Linked DNA regions of Tamandua tetradactyla. The protein of the gene in region 1 interacts with the protein of each later gene in a pairwise test. Links are inferred from orthologs where the notes say so. Each region holds a gene or a part of one and is shown in the gene's direction. Other genes may lie near its edges. The genes, in order: HNRNPUL1, PRPF40A and DZIP3.

What was found.
Region 2: the proteins of HNRNPUL1 (region 1) and PRPF40A interact in a two-hybrid assay, tested with the Homo sapiens proteins (2 studies listed by BioGRID and IntAct). The link is inferred for Tamandua tetradactyla from reciprocal best matches to the Homo sapiens genes HNRNPUL1 and PRPF40A.
Region 3: the proteins of HNRNPUL1 (region 1) and DZIP3 interact in binary tests that used the Homo sapiens proteins (3 or more experiments, as listed by UniProt). The link is inferred for Tamandua tetradactyla from reciprocal best matches to the Homo sapiens genes HNRNPUL1 and DZIP3.

The regions. Positions count from the first base shown.
Region 1 is NC_135342.1:22,510,443-22,517,608, reverse strand, and holds the start of HNRNPUL1 (heterogeneous nuclear ribonucleoprotein U-like protein 1), read left to right. Parts: upstream 1-4,104; 5' UTR 4,105-4,337; coding exon 4,338-4,632; intron 4,633-7,166. Other genes in the region: AXL (tyrosine-protein kinase receptor UFO), read left to right, coding at 298-649.
Region 2 is NC_135329.1:123,080,657-123,088,340, reverse strand, and holds the start of PRPF40A (pre-mRNA-processing factor 40 homolog A), read left to right. Parts: upstream 1-4,634; 5' UTR 4,635-4,676; coding exon 4,677-4,802; exon of another isoform or gene 4,803-5,142; intron 5,143-5,163; coding exon 5,164-5,559; intron 5,560-6,665; coding exon 6,666-6,797; intron 6,798-7,684. Other genes in the region: ARL6IP6 (ADP-ribosylation factor-like protein 6-interacting protein 6), read right to left, coding at 2,191-2,244, 3,771-4,170.
Region 3 is NC_135336.1:38,447,225-38,454,747, reverse strand, and holds the start of DZIP3 (E3 ubiquitin-protein ligase DZIP3), read left to right. Parts: upstream 1-4,420; 5' UTR 4,421-4,710; intron 4,711-7,523. Other genes in the region: protein CIP2A, read right to left, coding at 4,105-4,206. UniProt on the Homo sapiens protein: E3 Ubiquitin ligase proteins mediate ubiquitination and subsequent proteasomal degradation of target proteins.

The DNA.
Region 1 (7,166 bases):
TGAGGCCTGAGTCTGTTCTGGGGAACCACAGTGGGAAGCTCTGTTCTGACAAGCCCCCATTAGAACACCACCCCACGCCCAGAGCACAAGACCCGCCTAGCTCCCAAATCTTCCAGGAACCCGCTTAGAAACTCTTGGGAATTCTCAATCCCCACAGATGCTTCCAAACTGCTGAGGTTCCCTGCAGCCCACAAGAGATGTCCCCAGTCCCCTTAGTGTCCTAAGGTGCCCCAGACTCCCAGAATGCTCCCTTCCAAGCCCCCGCTCATCCTCCCACTCATCACTCTGTCACCTTAGGTACGCCCTGATGTTCCGTTGCTGGGAGCTAAACCCCAGGGACCGGCCAAGTTTTGCAGAACTACGGGAGGACCTGGAGAATACACTGAAGGCCCTGCCCCCAGCCCAGGAACCTGACGAAATCCTCTATGTCAACATGGATGAGGGTGGGGGTCATTCCGAGCCCCTTGGAGCTGCTGGAGGAGCTGACCCCCCCATCCAACCTGACCCTAAGGATGCCTGCAGCTGCCTCACTGCCGCTGAGATCCACCCTGCCGGACGCTACGTGCTCTGCCCTTCCACAGCTCCCGGCCCCACCCTGCCTGCCAACAGGGGCTCCCCTGCACCGCCAGGGCAGGAGGATGGAGCCTAAGTCAACCCTCCATCTGTGACTCCCTCTCAGGACCCAAGCTAGGCACTGCCACTGGGGGGAATGCCCCACGTTACTTTCCCATCCCAGGCCTTTCCTTCACGTGCAGCCCTCCTTTCCCACCCACCTCCAAACATCCCAAACAGACCCTCCCTCTTCTCCAGGCCTTAGCGTCCTCATCTGTAAAAGGAAGGGAGTTAGCTTCAGTCCTGAAGGGTCCTCCCAGTTTGACATTTCGAAATTCTAGATTCTAGGATCTAAAGAGTCTAGAGTTTAAGGTTCTGAGTTTCAAAGATGCTATGAGTCTTTGGTTCTAAGGAGCTATTTCAAGGTCTCCACTGATAAAGTTCTAAGGTTCTAGACGTGGAGGTTCTAAGGCCTAATGTACTAAAGCTCTGAGATTCTATGAATCTAGATTTTCTGGTTCTACGATTCTTGATAAGGGTCCAAGATTTTAGGTTACAAAGCTCTAAGATTCTAGTTCTAGCATCTAAGGCTTTATAAGACTCTGGATTATAAGGCTTCAAGTTTTCTACTCTTAAGATCTGAGATTCTCATGACAGTCAATTCTAGGTTCCAAGGCTTTATGATCCTAGATTCTTTTGTTATAAGAACCTGGATCCTAAGAGTCTAAGTTTCTAGAATCTGCATTTCAAAAATTCTAAGTCTAAACACAGAGGTTCTAAGGTCTAATGTTCCGAGATGAGATGTTCGAACACTCAATGAACCTAGATTCTCTGTGTCTAAGATTCTAGATCATATACTCTGAGATTCTAGATTATTAAACTCTAATAAGATGACGTTGTTTCTATATTCCAAGGCACTGTAGATGCTATTGGTCTAAGATATGGATCCTAAGCATCTAAAGTTCGAAGACTATCACCGTTAGTTGTAAATTTCTAAGATTCTAGACACCAACATTCTAATCATTTCTAATGTTGGACACCTCTAGGTTCTATGCTACATTCCGTCTTTCTAGGATTTTAGTTCCTAAGAGCCCAAGAGTACACATTTCTAAAATATTAAGATTCCAGGCACTGTAGTTCTAAGACTCAAATGCTCTAAGTTTCAAAGATTCTAAAATTCCACAGGTCCAGAATATTAGTATGATTCCAAGGTTGGAACCTTATAATATTCTTCTATGTGCCCCTCCCTTTCTTAGCCACCTCTGTTTCCTTCTACCCTTGAGTGGAGGTGTGCTGCTGCCCTCAAGCTTTGCAATGCATTAGGGATGCCTCCTCCCCCCCCCCAGGAGACAATCTCCCCCATTTTGGGTCATGCTGCCCCCTTGAGCCAGTCCTTCATCCCCCATGTACAGAGTGTGGACTCTGGTGCCTCTGGAGAGGCTCAGTTCACATAAAACTTCTGTCTCTTCTTGTCTCCCTCCAATCAGCTGTGGTGTGGCCCCTCTCCCTGCCAACTCAATTTCCCCATCAATAAAAAGGAGGTGGTAGGGCCTCAGAGTTGTCATGTCACTATAGAGCTACTCAGAGGGTAGAAAATACACAGAGACAAAAAGACACACAAGCAAAGAAACCCAGACTGAGAAACTCTGAGTTAGGAATAGGCACATAGATACACCTGGGGTCACATAAAGACCCCCAAAGTCACAGGCACATGAATCAATGGACATAGGTGTGATGGTTCACAAATACAAAGGCACTGAAAGAGATAAACGAAGTTACACAGAAACAAACATCTTTACAAACATACACACAGGCAGATACAAGGAATAGGAAGATCAGAGTAACAGAGATCCTAAAACAGTGACACAAGTACTCAGAGACATATAAAAGTACAACAGGTACAGGCGCAAACGTACAAATTCACACAGAGACACAGGTACAGAACGCTTGCCATAATCACCGGCCACCAAGGGGACCTCTGCCAAGACAAGCCCACTGTCTTGCAGGCATTGGCGGGCATCCGTTCCTGGGTGTGTCCCACATCTGATGGAGGAACCCTTGGCAGCGCCCGGACGCCCCCCGGTGGCGGCTCCTGAGGACCGGGAACAGTTCAATCCGGGCCACAAACTTTTTAGAACAAATCATTGTGGGAAGCTGGGAGGAAAGAGGAAGTCGGACGTGGGCGAGGGGCGGGGTGTCTGGACTGGAACCTCCGGGCCCACGTGAGTGTCTGCCTCGTTTCTGAGTGGGTGCTGTGTGTCTAGATTGCTGGAAGCTTGCAATGTAACTGTCCTGTGTGTCTTTTGATGCCGCGTGTCCGTGCGGACCTTAGCTGACGCGTATACGCGGCTATCTGATGCATCCTGAATTGGTGTATTATGCCCGGAATTATTGCATCTAATCTCAGTCTCATCGATTTGTACATCCGTGCCGTGCATTCATTTACGTTGAGGCTGTTGTGTGGCTTTTGTGGGCTTAAGATATGGCTCACTGGACAGAGGGTGGGTGTATTGTGTATCTCGCTTGTGGATTTTACTGAAGTTTCGTCTTTCGAGTTAGAGACGACAGGTAGTGCAGGATTCCGGGTGCGAGGCAGTCATTGTGAAACTCTGTGGCGTTTGTATTTATCAGTGTGAAGCTTAACTTCGTATCCGTATATTGAGCTTGTCAGTACCGCCGCCAAACAGATCTGGGGTAAGAACAAACAAAAACAGCTTCTGGAATTCTTTCGGGGGCGGGGCCTCCTGCGAGAGCCCATTCCACTTAAGGTACCAACCATAGAGAAGAGGCCGCAGAGCTACGCTCGACGAGGGCCTTGAGAGCTGCACCATCGAAGGGGAGGGGGTGCAGCTTCCTTTACAACTTTTCTCCCCTTGTTAGTCTGGCCTCTATTTTCGAATCTTCAAGGGCTCTCCGAAGTCAAGTGTTGTTTTCATAAAGGCAAGTGAGTTTCTTCCAGGTTAAGAAAAAAATGATCTACTTCATCTCTATTCCGTATACCTCCCTCTACAGCGAAACTTTTGAGGCCGTCCTCTGAAAAACGGCCAATCTGGTTAGCTTTTCCTAAAGCATCCAGCTATCTTGGCTTTACGAGATAAAACAGTAATTGCGATTGACCGACAGACTGTTTTGAAACCGCCCTAACGGCAAGAGGCGGGTCCTTCGTTAATAAATCTCCTTCCGGTTCTTAAAGCCACCAGAAGATTGGTTGTAGTGGTTTTACCGCTTGGCCACCTCAAGGGGCGGGAGATCTACACCAATCAGGATGTGTGTTACAGAGATACTAGGTTGATGAAAGAACTGCGCAGGAAAGGGTTTGGTGGCGCTCATTCTGAGACCTCATTGCTGACTGGTCCAAATCTTTACTCCCTTTCCTTCATTTGATTCTACGGTAGCGGGCGCGCGGGCGCCACCCAATCAGCGCGCGCTCCGCCTTCCGCCTTTTCCCGCCCTCCGCTCCGGCCGCGGCAGCGACGTAGGCCAACGCTTCCTTCCCGGTAGTTCCTAGATCTTCTCGTTTCCATTGTTTTGAAAGCCGCGATCTAATTGGCTGAGTTTCCGGACCCGCGCCCGTTGCCCCGTGATCTGGCCAATTGGCATGCGTGTTGCATCACACGGGGCCACGGGGAGGGGGAGGTGGCGGCGGCGGCCATTTTGAGCCGCCGCCGCCGCCATTGGAGTGCCCCCCCCTTCTTCCCCCTTCGCCTCCTGACAGGAAAGGTTTAAGGGGGACAGAGCCCTGGGAGGCCGGGCCGGGCTCGGGGGCCGCCCCGGGGGCCCGGGCCATGGATGTGCGCCGTCTGAAGGTGAACGAACTTCGCGAGGAGCTGCAGCGCCGCGGCCTGGACACTCGCGGCCTCAAGGCCGAGCTAGCTGAGCGGCTGCAGGCGGCATTGGAGGCCGAGGAGCCCGACGACGAGCGGGAGCTCGAGACCGACGACGAACCGGGGCGACCCGGGCACAACAACGAGGAGGTCGAGACCGAGGGGGGCTCCGAGCTGGAGGGAACCGCGCAGCCACCGCCGCCCGGGCTGCAGCCGCACCCGGAGCCTGGCGGCTACTCGGGGCCGGATGGACATTGTGAGAGTGCGCGGGGCGGGGGCCGGGGCCGAGGAGTCCGGGCCGAGAAAGGGCTGAGGGACGCGGGAGTCTGGTGCCTGGGGCTAAGGAGGCGGTCTTAGGGGCTAGGGATCCTGAGACCCGCCGCTGAAAAGGATGTGGGGACAAGGGCCTCGGGAGGGCCGGAGGGTGGATCCTGGCATTCGGCGCAGGGGAGATGTTGGAATTGGCGACTCTTCGTTTCGGAGATGAAGATCGGGGGTAAAAGATTTCGGAGCCCAGGGCTCGGAAGCCGGAAATAGAAGAGACTGAAAGGTCTCGGAAAGGATGGTCCCAGAGTTTAGAGCTGGATGGTCTTGGGGACTTTGCTAGCCTAGCGTGTGGGTGTGGGAATTGGAGGCCGTGTGTTTCCAAGGTTGGAGAAGGAATAACCAGCTCTTCGGCATTGGGAGAGTTTGAGGATTGAAGTTTGCAGCTACATGGGGTGCTGGGATGGTTTGTAGAGATGGAGGGTCCATTGGGCCTGGAGGTGGTCAGCATCCTCTTGAGGATGGCTTGGAGGGTCTCTGAGATCCAGGGCTGGAAGGCCAACCTTGAGGCAGGAGCAACTTGGGCATTTGGTGTGGGTAGGAGGACCTTCAGATTTGCTGCTAAGGGAGGCTTAGGGAACCTTGGCGTCCAAAGTTCTCTGAACAAGAGACCTGGGGGCCTAAGGCTGAAACAACTAAGGGTAGATACCTCAGGGTGGGGACAGATAACAGGTTGTTGGAGTTTGAAGTAACTGGAGTACTTGGGGACAGAGGATCCTTGTATCCAGTATAGGGAAAAGGGGTGAAGGGAGCTTGTTGGATGTGCAGAAGGAAAACTGTTTGGTTTGACTGGGGATTCACAATAGAGTGGGGGCAGTGTTTTGGGGGCCAAAGACCTGTCTTTGAGAAGGGGGCACCTGGATTCCTGAAAGCAGTTATCTGTGTGCCGTGGGGCGGGGGGGTGACCTCAGGATTTGAGGGCATAAGAGGGACTTAGGTAGGGCAAGGGCTTCTGAGCAGAGGAGACCCTGGTATGGGAAGGAGTGAATTTGGAGTTAGAAAAGGGTGAATTTTTAGCAGGAGTGGGGGTTGGAAATTTAGAGACCAAAAAAATAAGTGGGTGGGACTCTGGTGTCCAGAGTTTGGTTTCTTTGAAAAGAGGGTATACTGGGGCTTGGGACTAAGGAAATATAGAAACCTGATCACAGAAGAGACAAAATTTCAGGTTAACATTGGTTAATGAGGGATGGGAGCTAATGGAGAGGAGTGGGGAACCTGAGTATAGACTTAGGGTCGAGGAGGGTGCTAGGATTATCCAGGACCCAGGTGCAGAGAAGAGGACTTCCCATTGCAAAGGGAAGGGAAGGAGAAGTGGCCTGGTGTGCATGTCTAGGGCAGGAGGGACCTTGGCAAGGATACCTAGAAGGAGGGTAATGTGGGACAGTTTTGATCTAGAGGTCCAGCCAGAGGTGTCTCAGAGAGGAAGAGTTCAGTACTTCACTGCACAAATTCTAGACACACACAGACTTCCTTTCATGTCTGATTCTGTAATTTGGGCAAGTCATTCGTCTCTCTGAGCCCTATAAAATAGAGATGATGATAGGCCCCCTCAGGCTTGTAATGAATTAGATCATATATGTGGGGGGCTTAGCACTGGGCCTGCCTAGTAATTAGCAGGGGGATATTTTAGAGAGTGGAGAAGGACCCTGGAGTCAAAACTTCCCGACGCGATGCTGCTTCTGTGAGCACAGGAAGGGTGCTTGGGAAGAGGGATATAGGGCATGTGGGGAGACGAGCACTGTACTTAGAGCATGGAAGAGGCAGAATGGTTTGAAAGGGCCCCCTGTGTTTCATTTAGGAAATATTCTATTTTTTCCTCTCTCCCCTGCCCCCCATAACAAAATCTTATTAACCATTTTCGTGTCCACCCCCCAATCCTTCATTCAGCCTTGTAAACAGACCTATAACAAACCATGTGACTTGCAGCTATCCTCCCTTTGGGTTGCACCTGGTTTTGCCCAGATGTATTTGTCCTCTGAGAAGGAAACCAGTTGGTTAGCGGGTGGCAGAGTTATCTCTCCTTCCCTGTGTTTCTGCCTTAATGCTCTGGCACAGCCACTAGCAGGGCCCTGGAGACACCCAGCAGAGAGCTGCCCCCTGGGGTGGAGAGGCTGGGCCCTGCTCAGCAGAGGTTTCTCAAGTTCTCTCTGGGTTTGCCTGTAAGTTCTCCTCCTTGTGGGAGTTTCTGGTTTGGTACTCTGGTTTCAGTCCCAATTCTGAGATTTCTGATATGTTATGCCAATCCCAGGAGTGGTCTCCTCCATTCTCATCACTCAGTTATTGCCTATGTATCCTTCCTTTGTAGTCCTTAACACAATCATAACTTTTTTTGTGAGTATTTGTTTAATGTATGCTAACCTGAAGGCTTCTGCTGGGCAGGGGTTCAGCTCAGCTTATTCTCAACCATATCTCAGGGTCTATATAATACACACTCCAGGAATAGTTCATATTATTGTTCTTTCCATG
Region 2 (7,684 bases), on another chromosome or scaffold:
CTGAGTGTCAGCTCATTCTAGGATTTCTGTCCCACGTTGCCAGGAAGGTCCACACCCTTGGGAGTCATGTCCCATGTAGAGGAGAAGGGTGGTGAGTTTGCTTGTTGTATTGGCTGGAGAGAGAGGCCACATCTGAGCAACAAAAGAGGTTCTCTTGGGGGTGACTCTTAGGCCTAATTTTAAGTAGGCTTGACCTATTCTTTGTGGGGTTAAGTTTCATATGAACAAACCCCAACATTGGGGGCTCAGCCTATAGCTTTGGTTGTCCACACTGCTTGTGAGAATATCAAGAATTCAGCTTGGGAAAGTTGAATTTTCCCCCTTTCTCATTATTCCCTGAAGGGGACTTTGCAAATACTTTTTTATTCACTGTTCAAATCACTCTGGGATTTATTGGGGCAACACTCTGGACAACCCAACAAAATCTCATGTCCTACTCAAGGTTCCATGTACTTATGGCGTTCAATTAAGCTGTCTACATAAGTTATATTAGGAAACGCATGAGTCAAAATATAAATTTTAACTAGTAAATAAACATTTTTTGCTTTAGTCTCACACATAAGGTAAAATTTTAAAATGTTAATTACCATCTATTTTCAGCACCCTGCCATAATGACATTCCTTTGTTCTTCCTCATGCAAAAACACTTTTTAAATTTGTACAGTCACTATCATTATACACTCTAGGCATTCCTTGATTATAACATCTCAGTCTTTATCGTCTATCTTTCTTTCTGATTTCCTTTGTGCCCCCAGCCTTCCTCCCTCTATCAATCTCACATTCAACTTCATTCATTGTTTTAACATAATTGTATTACCATTAGGTAGTATTGTGCTGTCCATTTCTGAGTTTCTACATTCGGTCCTTTTGCACACTCTGTATCCCTTCAGCTCCAAATACCCAATATCTTATCCTATTTCTACCTCCTGATGGTCTCTGTTACCAATGAAATTCTCTAAGTTTATGTGTTTCTGAATATTTAAAGTAAACTCATGTCATTAGCAAAGTCTTAGATAAAGATCTTCTTTGCTACTATAGTATTATGTATCTATCAAAGCATACGCAAAAGCAAAACCAGGCTTAAATAACTGGTAGCAGAAAAAGAAGCAGGACAGTGACAAAGTCTATTTTATATCTTTTACTATTAACCAGGATATTTTTTCAGAAGATTACTGCCACCATTTTTTTCATAAATGTGAAATCATGCCAACTTTTATAAAATAGTAGGTTACAATTCATGCCTAGTTCATAGTAGGTTACATTGTAACCTACTGCATCAAAAGGTGGCAGACCAATAAACGCCTCCTATTTCAGGCTGTTTTGGGGAGAGAAAACAGTTTAACAACTAAGACTGGTAAAATTAGTAACTAAAATTGAATATCCTCTCATGCAAGAAGTTGAGAAGAGTTTATAGACAAAAATTCGATAGGATATCCAGCAAATTAAACTGCTTATAATTTTAAGAAAGTATAGGTTTCCCCTTCTGCAAAACCAGGTAGGCTATACTTTGTATTATGGTGATGACATTAGCTTAGAAAAGGTTGCTTAAACAGTTCAGCTAAGATGGGTTTACGGTGGATATGAGGGATAGTCTAAACTTTTTTCAATTGAGAGTGATCAAATAAATTATGGCAAACTGGTTTAAAATATACTAGACAAGTGAAGTTCTGAACTCCTCAAATTCATTTTGGTGGAGAGAATCAAATACAGGATAAAAAACCCTTGACTTTTTCACTGGACACCTTGTAAACTATAGTACTCTATGGACACTCTATAGAAGTCAGGTCTTTCTCTTTGTGCAAGTGCACTCAATGCTTCACACATTTAAAAGAAAAAATAAGTTGCATATAAAAATATTTGAATTTAAATTATTTCTTGATCTCTGCTTAAATCTGTCATAACTTTCTTTTTTTTTTTTTTTTTTTTTATTCCTGGGACATGTTGAAGCCTCTTCCATTAGGCAACATTAAGTATTCTCTGGATCTGGGACAAATACAGTTCCGGTCAAAATCTATTACCATAATTTTATAACGGACACTATCTGTGTGTATACAAAGGAAATTTAATATAAACTTACATACATGTAAATGAAATCAACTGCACATGGGACTATATAAAGCATTTTATCCAATATTTTATAGTTTAAACAAAAGTTAGTCAAATTCAGTCAAGTGCCAAATAAGTACGTACCTAATAACCCTGCGTCTATACCATCTTCATTCTTCAAATTTCCAGCATGTAACTCTGTAAATACAAAGAGGGGCTTAGGTAGAAAAGTAAGATTACTTCATAATTTGAAGAGTAATTCAAACGCTAGGAAAACATGGTGGAGTTGTTGAGAGTACTATGGAGTCCAAGTACCAGCTCAATTCTGATTCTACTTACTAACTAAATACCCTCCGGCAAGCAAATATGAGCTCTATAGGTTAAATACCATGTATAAAATGTGGATGATGTTTACTTCATAAGGTTAGTTGTGAAGACATTTTGTGAAATGCACATTACGAAACATACTAGGTCTTGAGTTCAGTTGCTTTCCCCATCCTCCAAAATTTAAGCAGAGCTCAATATCTTCTGCAATTGACTTCCACTTACTAACTTATTATGGCTTTATAACTTTATAATTCAAGGACAATCGTTCAGAGCAAAAGAGAAAGTACTTGTAAGACTAAACTAGCTCTCAAAGTTACAGTAAAAATAAAATAAAAAGTGGGTTGGAAGTGATAAATAAAATACTAGCAGCCAAATATTTAACATTGGCAGTTTTCACCCAATACCATTTCATGGAAAAGTAAAACACACTCAATAACTTGCCAATCTGTCTTATATGAAAATCAAGCATTGTAAGCTGTTAGATGCCATCTGCAGCCCATTAGGAGTGGGAAAGCAATGAGAAAAAAAAAAACAAAACTGGAGTTAAATCTGAGTTAGTGAAGGGAAACTAAAACTCGAATGATAACGTGCTGGGTGTTTTCTCTACAGCAAACCAAAACTAACGTAGTGTTTTATTTTCTTTTTCAATGACTTGGCCAAGGCCACACTTACTAGTGAGAACTAAGATTAAAACTCAGGTATATATTTTTCATTGTAATATGCAGTACCTAGCTATATATTAAATCCATATAAGCTTCTGCAAAACTTTTCAGAGCACATCTATTTTTATTCTAATCTGCCCAATATTTCACCTTCAGACACAGAAAAATAAAACTGATAGTAAGAGGAAGAAACCTATGGCTCCTACAGAATTTTACTTGGTCAAATGCAAACTAATACAAATCTGAGAGGCTAACGATTTCACCTATAAACGTATACATTTGGGCTGAGGGAAAGTAATCCTTGTTCTCCAGAAATTCTGATACTACCGGAGGAATCGGCGAACAGCATATTATCTTTAACCGTTTTATGGATCAAAGCCTTTGAACCTATGTAGCCTATTTTAATTACATGCACTTTTCACGGTTTCCTGTTAATGATAGTTGTTCTGACAATATTATTTTGACACTTTCATCCCAAGTGATTTTATTTCTTCAAGAGCACCCGCTTACCAAATGACACTTTCTTAAAATGGGTGCCTAATCATAGCTCAGGCCCTCCACCTTGGAAAAAGAATGACAGAGGAGTAAGAGCAAAAAAAAAAGGTGTAGATGCTGGCACTAGGTGAAAGGGCTGCTAGCGTGTCTGCTTTTCAGGGGTGGGGGGACAACGGAGGCAATACACGCCCTGGATTAACTACTATTCTGAACAGACTTTCAAGGTACGGGCTTCAGTACCTTTTACGATCAGGTAGACGATGGCAAGAAGAAAAGCAAGGAGGGCAGCAAACAGCAGCGAACACAGCATAGAGAGGATCTGGATCGGCCACCGCTGAGCCCCGGCTTGGCCGCTGGCGACCACCGGAAAGATGCCATTGCGCTTATCAGGCAGTAACGGAGACCCATCCCCGTCCGGCGGGAAGAGCGAGCCCTTCCTCGGCTCGGACGACGCCCCAACAGAAAACTCCGCCCGCAGATTGCGGGCTACTTGATCGCATCCGTCTTCCTCTTCGACCTCGCCCTCACCCCAACTCTTCCCCTGAGAGAATACGGAATACGTAGGCCCTGGAAACGTGACTGGGGTCCCGAGGCGACCGCGCCGCGAAACCGAGAGGCTCCGGCTCTCCACGAACGACATGGCGGGAAACACTGAGACGCCCGCGGAGGCCAAGCGGCTCCCACCCTCCTAGACCGCACGAACGCAGTAGCCAATCAGCGCCTGGGACCAGCGGCGGCCTCCACCACCCGGCGCCCGAGTGGAGGGGTGCGTAACCAGGCCGCTGCAGGGCGGAGAGAGAGCCGCAGGGCCGGATGAGAGACTAAGCGTCTCCGGACCAGAGCTGAACTCGAGTGCCGGCAGGTAAGACAGGGAGCTGAGAAACAAGCAAGGAGAAGCGAGCCGAGAGCAAAGGTAGCTGAGTCCCTTCCCCTAGCAGCGCTTCGTCCCAGCCGGAGACCTCCGCCACCCTCGCGTCATCTCCAGGCAAGTGCGCGCCCCGACAGCTCCAATGTCGCACCTTCCCGAGCCCGGTCCTAGCGCCCGACTATGCCCCTCCGATACATATTTCCAAGCCAATTCGCTTGCCCCTTTCCCTCTGCGCTCCCTCTCTTCATTGGCTATCCTGCGTAACGGCAGGTCACTGCATGCAATCTCCCTTTGTCGTAACTGCCCATTTCCTTTTCGCATCCTTATTTTCTCCCCGCCCAGACCACAACTTCCCTCCACGCTGCTGGGCATGTCTTCTTCCTACTCTGCGCGCTCTTCAGCTGGTGCGTACGGAGTTCGAACCCTTTCATTCAGGACCCCTCCTCCCGCGTTCCGCTCCCCTCCCCTTGGCCTCGAGCACCGCGCGCGCGCACCCCTGACCCAGCCACAGCTAACGCTAGGAGGTTACCCCACCCTACCCTACCAGGGGCAGCCTATGGTTTGTGGGGCATACGTAACTCGGGTGGGGGGTTTGAAGACGGCAGACCCCTACAGCCCCTCTCCCTACAGGGTGAGGCAGTCTAAGCTCAGGAAGCTGGGACACATTTGTCTTCTCTTCCCCGGGGAAGTTGGCGGAGTTGTCCCAGCAGAGGACTCGGCGCAGAAACTTCCTCCATCCCCCTTCCCCCCCCCCCACCCATGCAGGCGACGCCGAGTGAGGCTGAAGCTAGGGGCCAGTCGCTGCAGAGCTGCCTGCCGGCGACGCACTCTGATTGGACAGCAGGGAAGCCTGTCAGCTTATTGGCCCCGCTGATCCCGCCCCTCAGCACAGGGCAGCCTTTAACCTTTAGCCCCAGCGGGCGTCAGCCACTCAGATCGCTTCTTGTTGGTATATGTAGCGGCAGTGGCCGCCGGCGGAACAGTCTGAGCCCGACGATGAGGCCGGGGACAGGAGCCGAACGTGGAGGCCTCATGGTGAGTGAAATGGAGAGCCATCCTCCGTCGCGGGGTCCCGGGAATGGGGAGCGGAGATTGCCCGACTCAAGCCTCTGCTCCAGCTCTTGGGTCTCTGCTGACGGCTTCCTGAGGAGACGGCCCTCGGTAAGGGATCGGTGGGGCTGGGGGAAAGCGGCACAATGAAAAACGGAGTCAGAGAGACAGGAAGCTTTCCCCGGCAGGAGAAGAAGATAAGAGTGGACGAAGGAAGAGCTCGAGATGGTGGGATATGTTTTGAAGGAGAGAAATGGAGGGCAGGGATGCACAAAGAGAAGGATGTGGGACCCTGGAAGTTCCTAGGGGGCTTGGCCTAGGCAGTGACGCGGTGGAGGTGCTGAGCCCTGGGCGGGGTGAGCATCTTGGAGAGATAGGCCCGATTTTACAGAGAAGGGGGAGGCGGAGACTTGGTTTTGTAGATTTTAAAAGAGACTGCCAAAATTTGTTTTCACTAGTGATGGTGGTGTCTGCAGGGGGGACAACTAGGAGAGTTGGCAGGGAACGGTTACCAGATTTTAAGACCCGGAACAATGGACATAAAGGTAAAAAAAAAAATAGTTGTCTCTTTAAAAGCGCGTTAAAGCGGATGAATTAGTTGCTTGCGTTTAGCATCTATGAATGACAGGACTTAGATCTTTGAAAAAAATTTGTTTTGAGGGGCAGAAGTAATTTTAATTGTCTTAAAGGTTCTGTTGAGGAATACTGTATTCATTCGTTAGTAGCGATGTGTCCCTGTAAACCCACGCTGTTTGTTTTTTGGGACTAGGGCTCATCCGAGTTAATGTGGTATATTCAGGATTTTAAAGTTTAAAGTTGGTTTGGAAACAAAATCAAGAATAAGTAACGTTATTACAATATCTGACTATCTTTTGTATCTGGGAAAAATAATAAAGTTGTGGTTTTAGGTTACATTTTCTCTAATTTACAGCAAGCCAATCAGTACCTGGTTAAATTAATGTAGTTTTTAAAAAAGATTAATCTGGCTGTCCAATTATTTTAACTTTTCCCACTTTGTTCTGAAATTTGGTCACTTGCAAGTTTAAAAATATTCGAGTATTTTTTTAAATTTTGTTTTGAGATAAGAAGATATATGCTAACTTGATCACTTCCTCACACAATAGCCTAATACTGTGGTAGTACAGGTAACTGATATGTTGAGTTTTTGAGGAACATTTATTATTACTCGTAGTTTTAAAATTTTCACTGTTTTTCAGATGGGACACCCTGGTATGCATTATGCCCCCATGGGAATGCACCCTATGGGTCAGAGAGCCAATATGCCTCCTGTACCTCATGGAATGATGCCACAAATGATGCCTCCTATGGGAGGGCCACCAATGGGACAAGTAAGCATGTTATTGTATTTCTGTTTTATATTTATTTATTTGCCTTCTGGTATTATTGTGTCAAGATTTTGAAGTCTGGGCGGTTATTTGTAGCTGACTAAGAATTAGTTTATGCCAAAATATTGTTTTTAGGTAAGCCAAATGTTGGGTCATGACGGTAACCAAATTTTGAATGTATCAGCAATATGTCTTCTGCATAAAAAAGTTTTTGCCTTAACAGAACTAAGAGTTTTTCTTTTAATTTAATGTGAAAGTAATAATGTACATCTGTGCTTTTTAGTTCAATAACCTTTTTTCAAGCACATCGATTGAAGTTAATGTTCTGAGAGTAAATTTTCTAATATCTGTTATGCCAGTGTAACTTATATTGGTGGACCTTATCGAATCTGAAAATAGGAGTTGTTTAGGCCTTTGGCTTAGAATGAGTTTTATATTTTATTCCTCAGACTATCGTGTGTGTGTGTGTGTGTGTGTGTGTGTGTGTGTGTGTGTGTGTGTGTGTGTGTGTGTGTGTGTGTGTGTGTGTGTATGTATGTATGTATGTGGGGGGGGCAGGGATTTGAGATTTCTGCTCCATACTTTTGTTTCTTAAAGTACAGTGCCATGTAGCTAGTTCACTTTGCACTTAAACTATTTTTTTTTAATGCTGATTGCTTCTGCACTCCTGCTTATGAGCTGTCCCTTCCATCTCTAGCATAAGTGTAAATTGACATTTGTGGGAATGATTTGGATCAGAAGGTTTTAATGCTGACTCAGTGACTTTGATAGACCTGAGTTCCTAGAGAAACTACCAAGAGAGGTAACAGATTCGGTTATCATGAATAATTTTATGCCATCTGTATTCTGTATTAGGTTCTATACTACACAGATCCTTTAGGTGGCTGGGT
Region 3 (7,523 bases), on another chromosome or scaffold:
CAATGCAGGCACTCTAGCCAAGCGATTCAACATACCGCGCGCAGCTGCTAGAGACATAGTCAGAGCCTGCCAAAATTGCACAGAGTCAAGAGTGCTTCCTTCAATCGGAGTCAACCCTAGAGGCCTCATTCCGGGAGACATCTGGCAAATGGATGTCACTCACCATTCAGAGTATGGTAAGGCCAAATATCTACATGTGTCAATAGACACATGCTCTCAAGTTATGTTTGCCTCCGCTGAAACAGGAGAAAAGGTCCATCAAGTTATTGCTCACTGCCTTGCCGCCTGGGCGGCATGGGGCAAGCCAAAAATATTGAAAACAGATAACGGACCTGCTTATACCAGTAAAACCTTTCAAAAATTTTGTGAAACTATAGAAGTGCAGTTAAAGCATGGTATCCCTTACAATCCCCAAGGGCAAGGTATCATAGAGAGAGCACACAGATCTCTCAAAGAATTGCTTAAAAAACAAAAGGAAGGAATGGGCCACGGCCTATCCCCAAAAGCCCAACTGTCAGTAGCCTTGTTTACATATAATTTCTTAAATGAAAACTCACAAGGAATGACACCTGCCCTCCAGCATACCACTCCAAACCCATCACATAGAGGTTTGGTCCGATGGAAAGATGTCCTGTCAGGACTGTGGCAAGGCCCTGACCCGGTGCTCAGCTGGGCCAGAGGCTCTGTTTGTGTCTTTCCCCAGGAACCAGGACGCCAGCCGGTGTGGATTCCGGAGAGACTGGTGAGAACCGTGACACCGCCCGGGGGCGCCGAGAAACTGCTGCCCGACAAGTCAGCAAGCTTTCGACCTGAACCATCAGGCCCGGTCTCCAGCCCTACTGATGATGGCGACGACCGAAAAGATGACAACAACAGTGCAAGTGACCCTCCGACCGAGTAGAAGAGAAACTAGCTTTAACCCCACTTTTCCCACTACGAGCTACTGTGGGACTAAGTCACCTCATGGTTCTCTTGGCCCAGGTTGACCACTTGGATTCTTTTAGCAGTGGGACTCTTAGTAACTCTGCTCATTGTTGATTGTTTGTTAGAACGCTTGTTCCAGACGCAGCAACAGCTACGCGTCACCACTATGTTGGCTATGTCACTTGCCCCTGATGCCCCTGGCGACCCCCGCACCGTAGCCCTGTCCTCCCCCCCACTGCGTGGCCCGTCACGGCCACTCAAGGCGGGACGCTCGAAAGTAAGGTCTGCCGCAAAGCCCATGGCTGTATCCCAGGTATAAGTGGCGGCACCAGAAGTCATAATTTTGGTCGAAAGAGAGTCTCTAGGCAAAGTCGCGGTCCTGGCCAGACTAGACTTAAGCCATTGCACAGAGACACCTACGACACTCTCGACTCTGGTTGCCGCTCTCCTGCCCCCCTCATAACCCGGTTGCGAGGCGAAGCACTGCAGGGAGGGTCACGTGGTTTCCGGTTCACGGGCCCTCCGGTCTCTATATGAGGAGGCATTCTGGTTGGTGCCTAGCAAGCCTAGTCCAGACTCCCCAAAGCACCAAAACATGTAGTGGGCCGTTCCGGCCCACGGGAGCTCACTCATCAATGGAGACACCGGGTCAAAATAAGTAAAAAAGGGGGAGATGTGGAGAGCCGCCACCCGGGTCAGGCCTAGTGGACGCGCTGCAGCCTGCTCTAAAGCTCCCCCCGCCCATCGAGTGAGCCAAGATGGCGCCCACATCCTGCTTCCGCGTATGACACACACGCCCACCAACCCGATCTACCAATCACCCTCTTAGACGCGGCAACAACCTATTGGGCTTGAATTATGTATATAAGGTATTGCCCGGACGAGGCGGGGGAGACGACCCACAAGGAGCCGTGCCTGACGGCCGCACAGAGGTCGCTCCCCCGCGGGATGTATTCACCCGGTCGGGGAAAGTTATAGATAATGCAAGCTTAGACCCAGTAAAGATTTGTACTTACAACTGCTGCGTATTCTGGACTCGTTTTCTACCGCCAGGACCGGTTTGTCTGCGTCTCTTTCTCTCTCCCCCTTTTCTTGTCGTACCCTCCGCCGGCCGGGGGCCCGACGTTGAGCGAGGAGACACGGACAACGTACCATTAAAAATACAAATGATCACCCACTAAAAATGGGAAAATAAAAAAACTGACTGTTTTAATTCAGGGGCTGTTGTGGAGGAGTGGATGAGAGACTGCAAATCTCATATACTGCAGTGTGGAGGGTAAAATGGTATAACCTTTGGGGAAACTGTTGAGCAGTTTTTAGCAGTTTCAACTAAAGCTGAACATAAGCTTACCCTACCACCTAACAATTCCACTCCTCAGCATATTAAAGAAATGAGTTTGTTCATTCATAACAAACTGCTATATATTTACACAATGGAATTCCATACAGCAATAAAAAAGAATGAAGTACTTTTATATGTTGCAACATGAATGAACTTCAGATTTTTGTGTTTTTTTGAGTGAAAGAAGCCAAACATGAAAGAGTACAAATTTTCTGAGTCCACTTATATGAACCTTATGGAAAGGGATAATGAAACACTTTATAGGGGCTGGACAGGTTCTATATCTTGATACAGATGATGGCTCTATGAGTGTACAAATGTAATAAAAACCATCAAGTGCCTCACTTAAGATTAATGTACTTGATGTATTTTACTGTATGTATGTCATCTCTCAATTGAAAAAAAAAAGTTCTTAAGAGTAGTCGCTTCAAGCTAGTACTCATCACACCCTTGCAACAAAATACCCCAATGCCAGAACAGTTTTCTGTGAATCTTTCAAGAAGTCAGTTTTTAAGCCACAAATTGCTTTGAAATCTCCTTCAATTCATGCTAAAATTGCACTGAGAATCAAAATATACCTCTATTCTCTGAGAGAAGCAATGTTTCAGACTGCTAACTAAAATAAAATACTTAATGTTTAATTCTTAAATAAAGCTGATGGCCATGTTTATTTTGCGGCTTCTGGACTGCCACCAGCACACTGCTCTATCCTAGTTTGAAACTTAACTGTTATGTTTGCTGGGACTTATTGTGATAATGGATGAAAACAAAAACAAAAACAAAAACAAAAACAAACCTACTTAGGATGTGGGTATCTCCAATAGTTCGAAGAGGAGCCCCACTGAAGCTCAGGAGAACAAAGACACATTTATAATACTATAGTTTCACCAAAAGTTGGTGCTGTTATACCATTCACAATCATCTTCTCTTTGCAGTATTCTGCCAATCCTTGGTACATCAGACCTTCATTAGAGGGGTAATAAACCAAGTAGAATAGATTTTTAAATTACGTTCAATTCTATGTTAGCAGAGGAATTCTACAAAGAGAGAATTCTTAAAATATGCCTTGAATGAGTGAGCTTAACTTTTTTTTTTTTTTAGGTGCATGGTCCAAGAATCGAACCCGGGTCTCCCGCATCGAAGGCGCGCATTCTACCACTAAACCACCTGTGCACCCTACTTTTTATTTAACAGATTAACATTTGAATTCCACAAATGCGTTAACAATTGATAACAAGAGTCTCAAAATAATAAGGGTCACAGGGAATTATGTGCGATTATAATTTTTTCCAAAGAAAAGTTATAACAATAATAATCTAAACACAAATCACTGGGAACTAAGAAAAAGTGAATACAATTCAGCATTTTAGGATTTAAAAACTGTGAGCAATATATTTTTGTAAAGAAACATGATTACGATTACTAGAATTGGAGAAAGGGATTGCTTCTTAGGCCAAAGAAAGTTGAAATAGTATTTTTCAAGTACAAGTTCACTGCATATTCTGCGAGGGCTCTATTTCGATGGCAAAACCAGAACAAGAAGCAAAAGAAGAGAAAATACAAGTCCGAGCTTTCTCCTCTAATCTACCAGAAACACAGCCTAAATTCCCTAACCTTTTATTCCACTCTCCCCTTTCCCAGAGCCTTCTTTCGGCGCTCAACCTGATCGCTGCGGACAGCTAACCGTGGAGGAACTAGGGGCGGGGTGGAGAGTGAGAATTCAAAGCTGACACTCCCTCGCTTTTACCTTAACAAACAGCCCAGGGAGCGAGAGGCCTTCCAGGGATAGGGCCGCCACACCCCACCGCCCATGGACTAAGGATTATTAGATCCCTCACCTCCAAGTGCCGCAAAAGCTGGGTGGCGTTCGCCTCAGACTTAACGGCTTTGTACTGACTGATGATGAGGAGCAAGGACTTCAAGCAGGCGGTGGAGTCCATCGGGACCGATCACGGGCCCACCTGAAGATTTCCACCACCTTGTCTGCTCTGGTCTCCAACTTTCGCCGCGCTTTTTTGATTTTTCGGCCCCACCCCCTCGCTCCCCCGAGCTTCCGGTTCCGGTCAGCCCCCGGAAGTTCCTAGGCACGCTGGGGGGGCTGGATCTCGTTGAAGAGTAGAGGGGTGGTTCGGAGTGCCCACGCACTCGGTGGGTTTGTGGGGGAGGCGTTAAGGCCCGGTCCCTCCAAATCCCCTCTTTTCTCTGAGCCCGCGGGGTTTCGGCTTCATGATCCCGTGAATACGAAAAATCTCGCGAGTTACGCGATTGTGGCTAACCGATGTAGGGGCGTCAGGGGCTTCTGTGGCGTCTGGGGCTGGCTGTTCACCTGTTTGCTTTGCTTTTGTTTTCGTTTGCTTCTTCGGCCTTCACTCTGGATGGCCGGTTTTTCTTTTGTACATCATCTTCTACTTGGGAAATGGTGGCTTTGCCCTAGTCTAGACACGGTGAGGAAATCTGAGGTGGAAGATCTTTGGGCACTAGACTTTGAGGCGGTTTGGGAGGTTCATCATTTTAAATCTCTTATACGTTTATCCCTTCTACCTAGTAATGTTTTTCAGAGTAAACGTTTAGATTTTGTGTCGAGATATTCGTGCCTTTACGGTAGTCTTGTCAAAATGATTCGAAAACACTGCCTCCGGGCGACTCGGGTGTCAGTAGATAGTGTATTGCTCTTCCGGGTGGTTTCGTTAGAGTTTGTTTTTGTAAATGAAGGTGTCAGTTTTTGTCTGGTGTGATTGTTTTATAAATCTCGGTGTTTGGAAAGATGACACTTTGTATTTTTTAAATCGGATAATTAGTGTATGCAAGAATATGTTATGAAGTGAGTGAGTAGATGGTTTTGGAGTCTTAATTTGTGTTAATGTCGAATAAAGCTTTAAAAAACCAACTAATGATAAATTGTAAGCATAGAGTGCATGACCATTTAGTTAACTCATTAATCAGAAATCATGTTTTCTCAATTCAAAGAACGTATTTTTTATATCACTACATTTTTAAAGGCAAGACTTATTTCGATATTAAAAATATAATTTTTGCTATTAAATCTGAAAGCCTCAAATGATTTGGCCAATGAGACATTCACGTAAAAGTCTTTGGTTAAGGAATGTATACATAACATTCATTCATTCAGTAAACAATTATTAAATGTATAACATGGGGCTAGGCATTGCCAGTCAAGATACAAAGATAATTTCTTCACTGCTGTGTAATAAGGGAAATGAACTAAATAGAAAGTACATATGGGAATTCATTATGCAAATGAGAGACCATACAGTGATGGTAAATGGTGGAGGCAGGCTGTGTGGTACAAATCCTAACTCTACCTTTTACTATTTGACCAAAGGCAAATTCTCATTGTATTTCAGTCTCTAGGTAAGGTGAATAAAGTCTAACTAATAGTAATACCTGTTTCATAGGGTTGTTCAACATTTTTGAGACCCTTTAATGTTCAAAGATGCAAGCGTCAGTGAATGAAACAAATTCTGCTGCCATTGAACTTACACTCTGGTAGAAAGACGATAAACAGTTAAAGAAGATAATTTAGAGAAAAAAAAAACAGAGCAGAGGTATTACTCTGGAGTAATGGTGGTGGTTGTGTGGATAGTTATAATTTTAAATGGGGTCATCAGGATAGGTCTTATTGAGAAAGCAGTATTTGAGGAAATACTTCAAGGAGTTAAGAAAGAGCCCTGCAATTTAGGAGAAAAGGTATCCAGATGTTGGGCATATAGGAAATAATAAGAGCAAAGATAGAGTGATAAGGGCAAAGGCCTCGAAATGGGCATGGCAATGTGTTGTCAGGGACAGCAAGGAGGCCACCATGGCTGGAGTGGAGAGAGCAAGGGTAAGAGTAGTTGGAGATAGAGACCATTATAATATTAGTTAATCAATGTAAAGAGAACATTTACCTGGCTTAAGTGGGTTCTTGGTGAATATGGCCATCATTGGATGGTCATTTGCAAATGTAGTGATAAGAATTTAGCAGTGGTATAAATTTGAAAAAAATAGGCTTTTTCACTATACTGGCAAGTATATAATGACCCATATGCTGGGTTTGGGGAGAGCGTAAAAACTGCCTGCTGTAATGCTTTCTTTTTTTTTTAATAGCTTTATTGAGATATAATTCACACACCACACAATTCATAGATTTTTTAATGCTTTCTTAATTAGAAATCTTTCATTTTAAGCGGCCATACAAATTTTGCAGTTTTCTCCATAGAGTAGTTATTTTGATATAAAATGTCTTCCTCTAAAAATCCACACCAAAAATTGATGTTGTAAGTTAGTAGAAGACATCTTTAGCTAGAGATACTTGCGTATCCTAATTTAAGAAACACAGAGCCACACTTTTAAGGTCAAAATAGTGTAGAGGAGGAGGAGGCTATGAAGCTAGATTCAGTTAACTAAAGGTGATGTTAGGCTAGAGCTTGGATTCCATCCTGAATTAAGTGGTGATCTTTGCTTTAGACTAGGGCTTGACCTAGTAAGGTTTGTATTTTACCTGATAACTGGCTGATGGATGGGGTATGATTTTGAAGAGGATGAGACTTGAAATAGGGAGACTGTATAATTTGCTGGACTGTGTCTAAAGGATAACTAGTATAATGGAAGTGGACAGAGTGAAGAGGTGACAAATTTGAAAAATATATATATATAAAGTAGAATAGGCAGGACTTGCTGACTAATTGTGGATGTGAGAAATGAGACAGTGAGTCTGAAAGAATTTCTGAATTTCTAGGTTGGGAGTTTTAGAGATGTAGTTTGCTGAGGTAGTTAATAGCAAGTGTTCATGGTGTATTTTGTGTGCAATGAAATTTTGTATTCTTTGTCATATAATATTTTGTCATTCTTAGTGTATTCCTATTACATGCTTTTTGTTACTGACTGGGTTCTTTTTTTCTCATAAATTTCTCATTTTTATTGCTATTCTTAAAGATACTGATTTTTAGTAAATCTTTCATCCACCTACCTAAAATATCATTTATTTATTTATTTATTTATTTAGGCATGGGCAGCCTCCGGGAATCAAACCAAAATCTCATTAATTTTATTAGAGTTTTGCTTACTATCTTAGATTTTCTAGACGTATCAGTAAATAATGATTTCATCTCTTCTTTTCCAGTAATTTATTACATTGTCATAATCTCTTAAATGTGACATAATCATGGTGGTAGTGAGCAATTTGTCTCATTGTAATAGGAATGATCTCAATATTTTAACGTTTAGTGTGATTTGTGCTGTTGACTTATGATACACA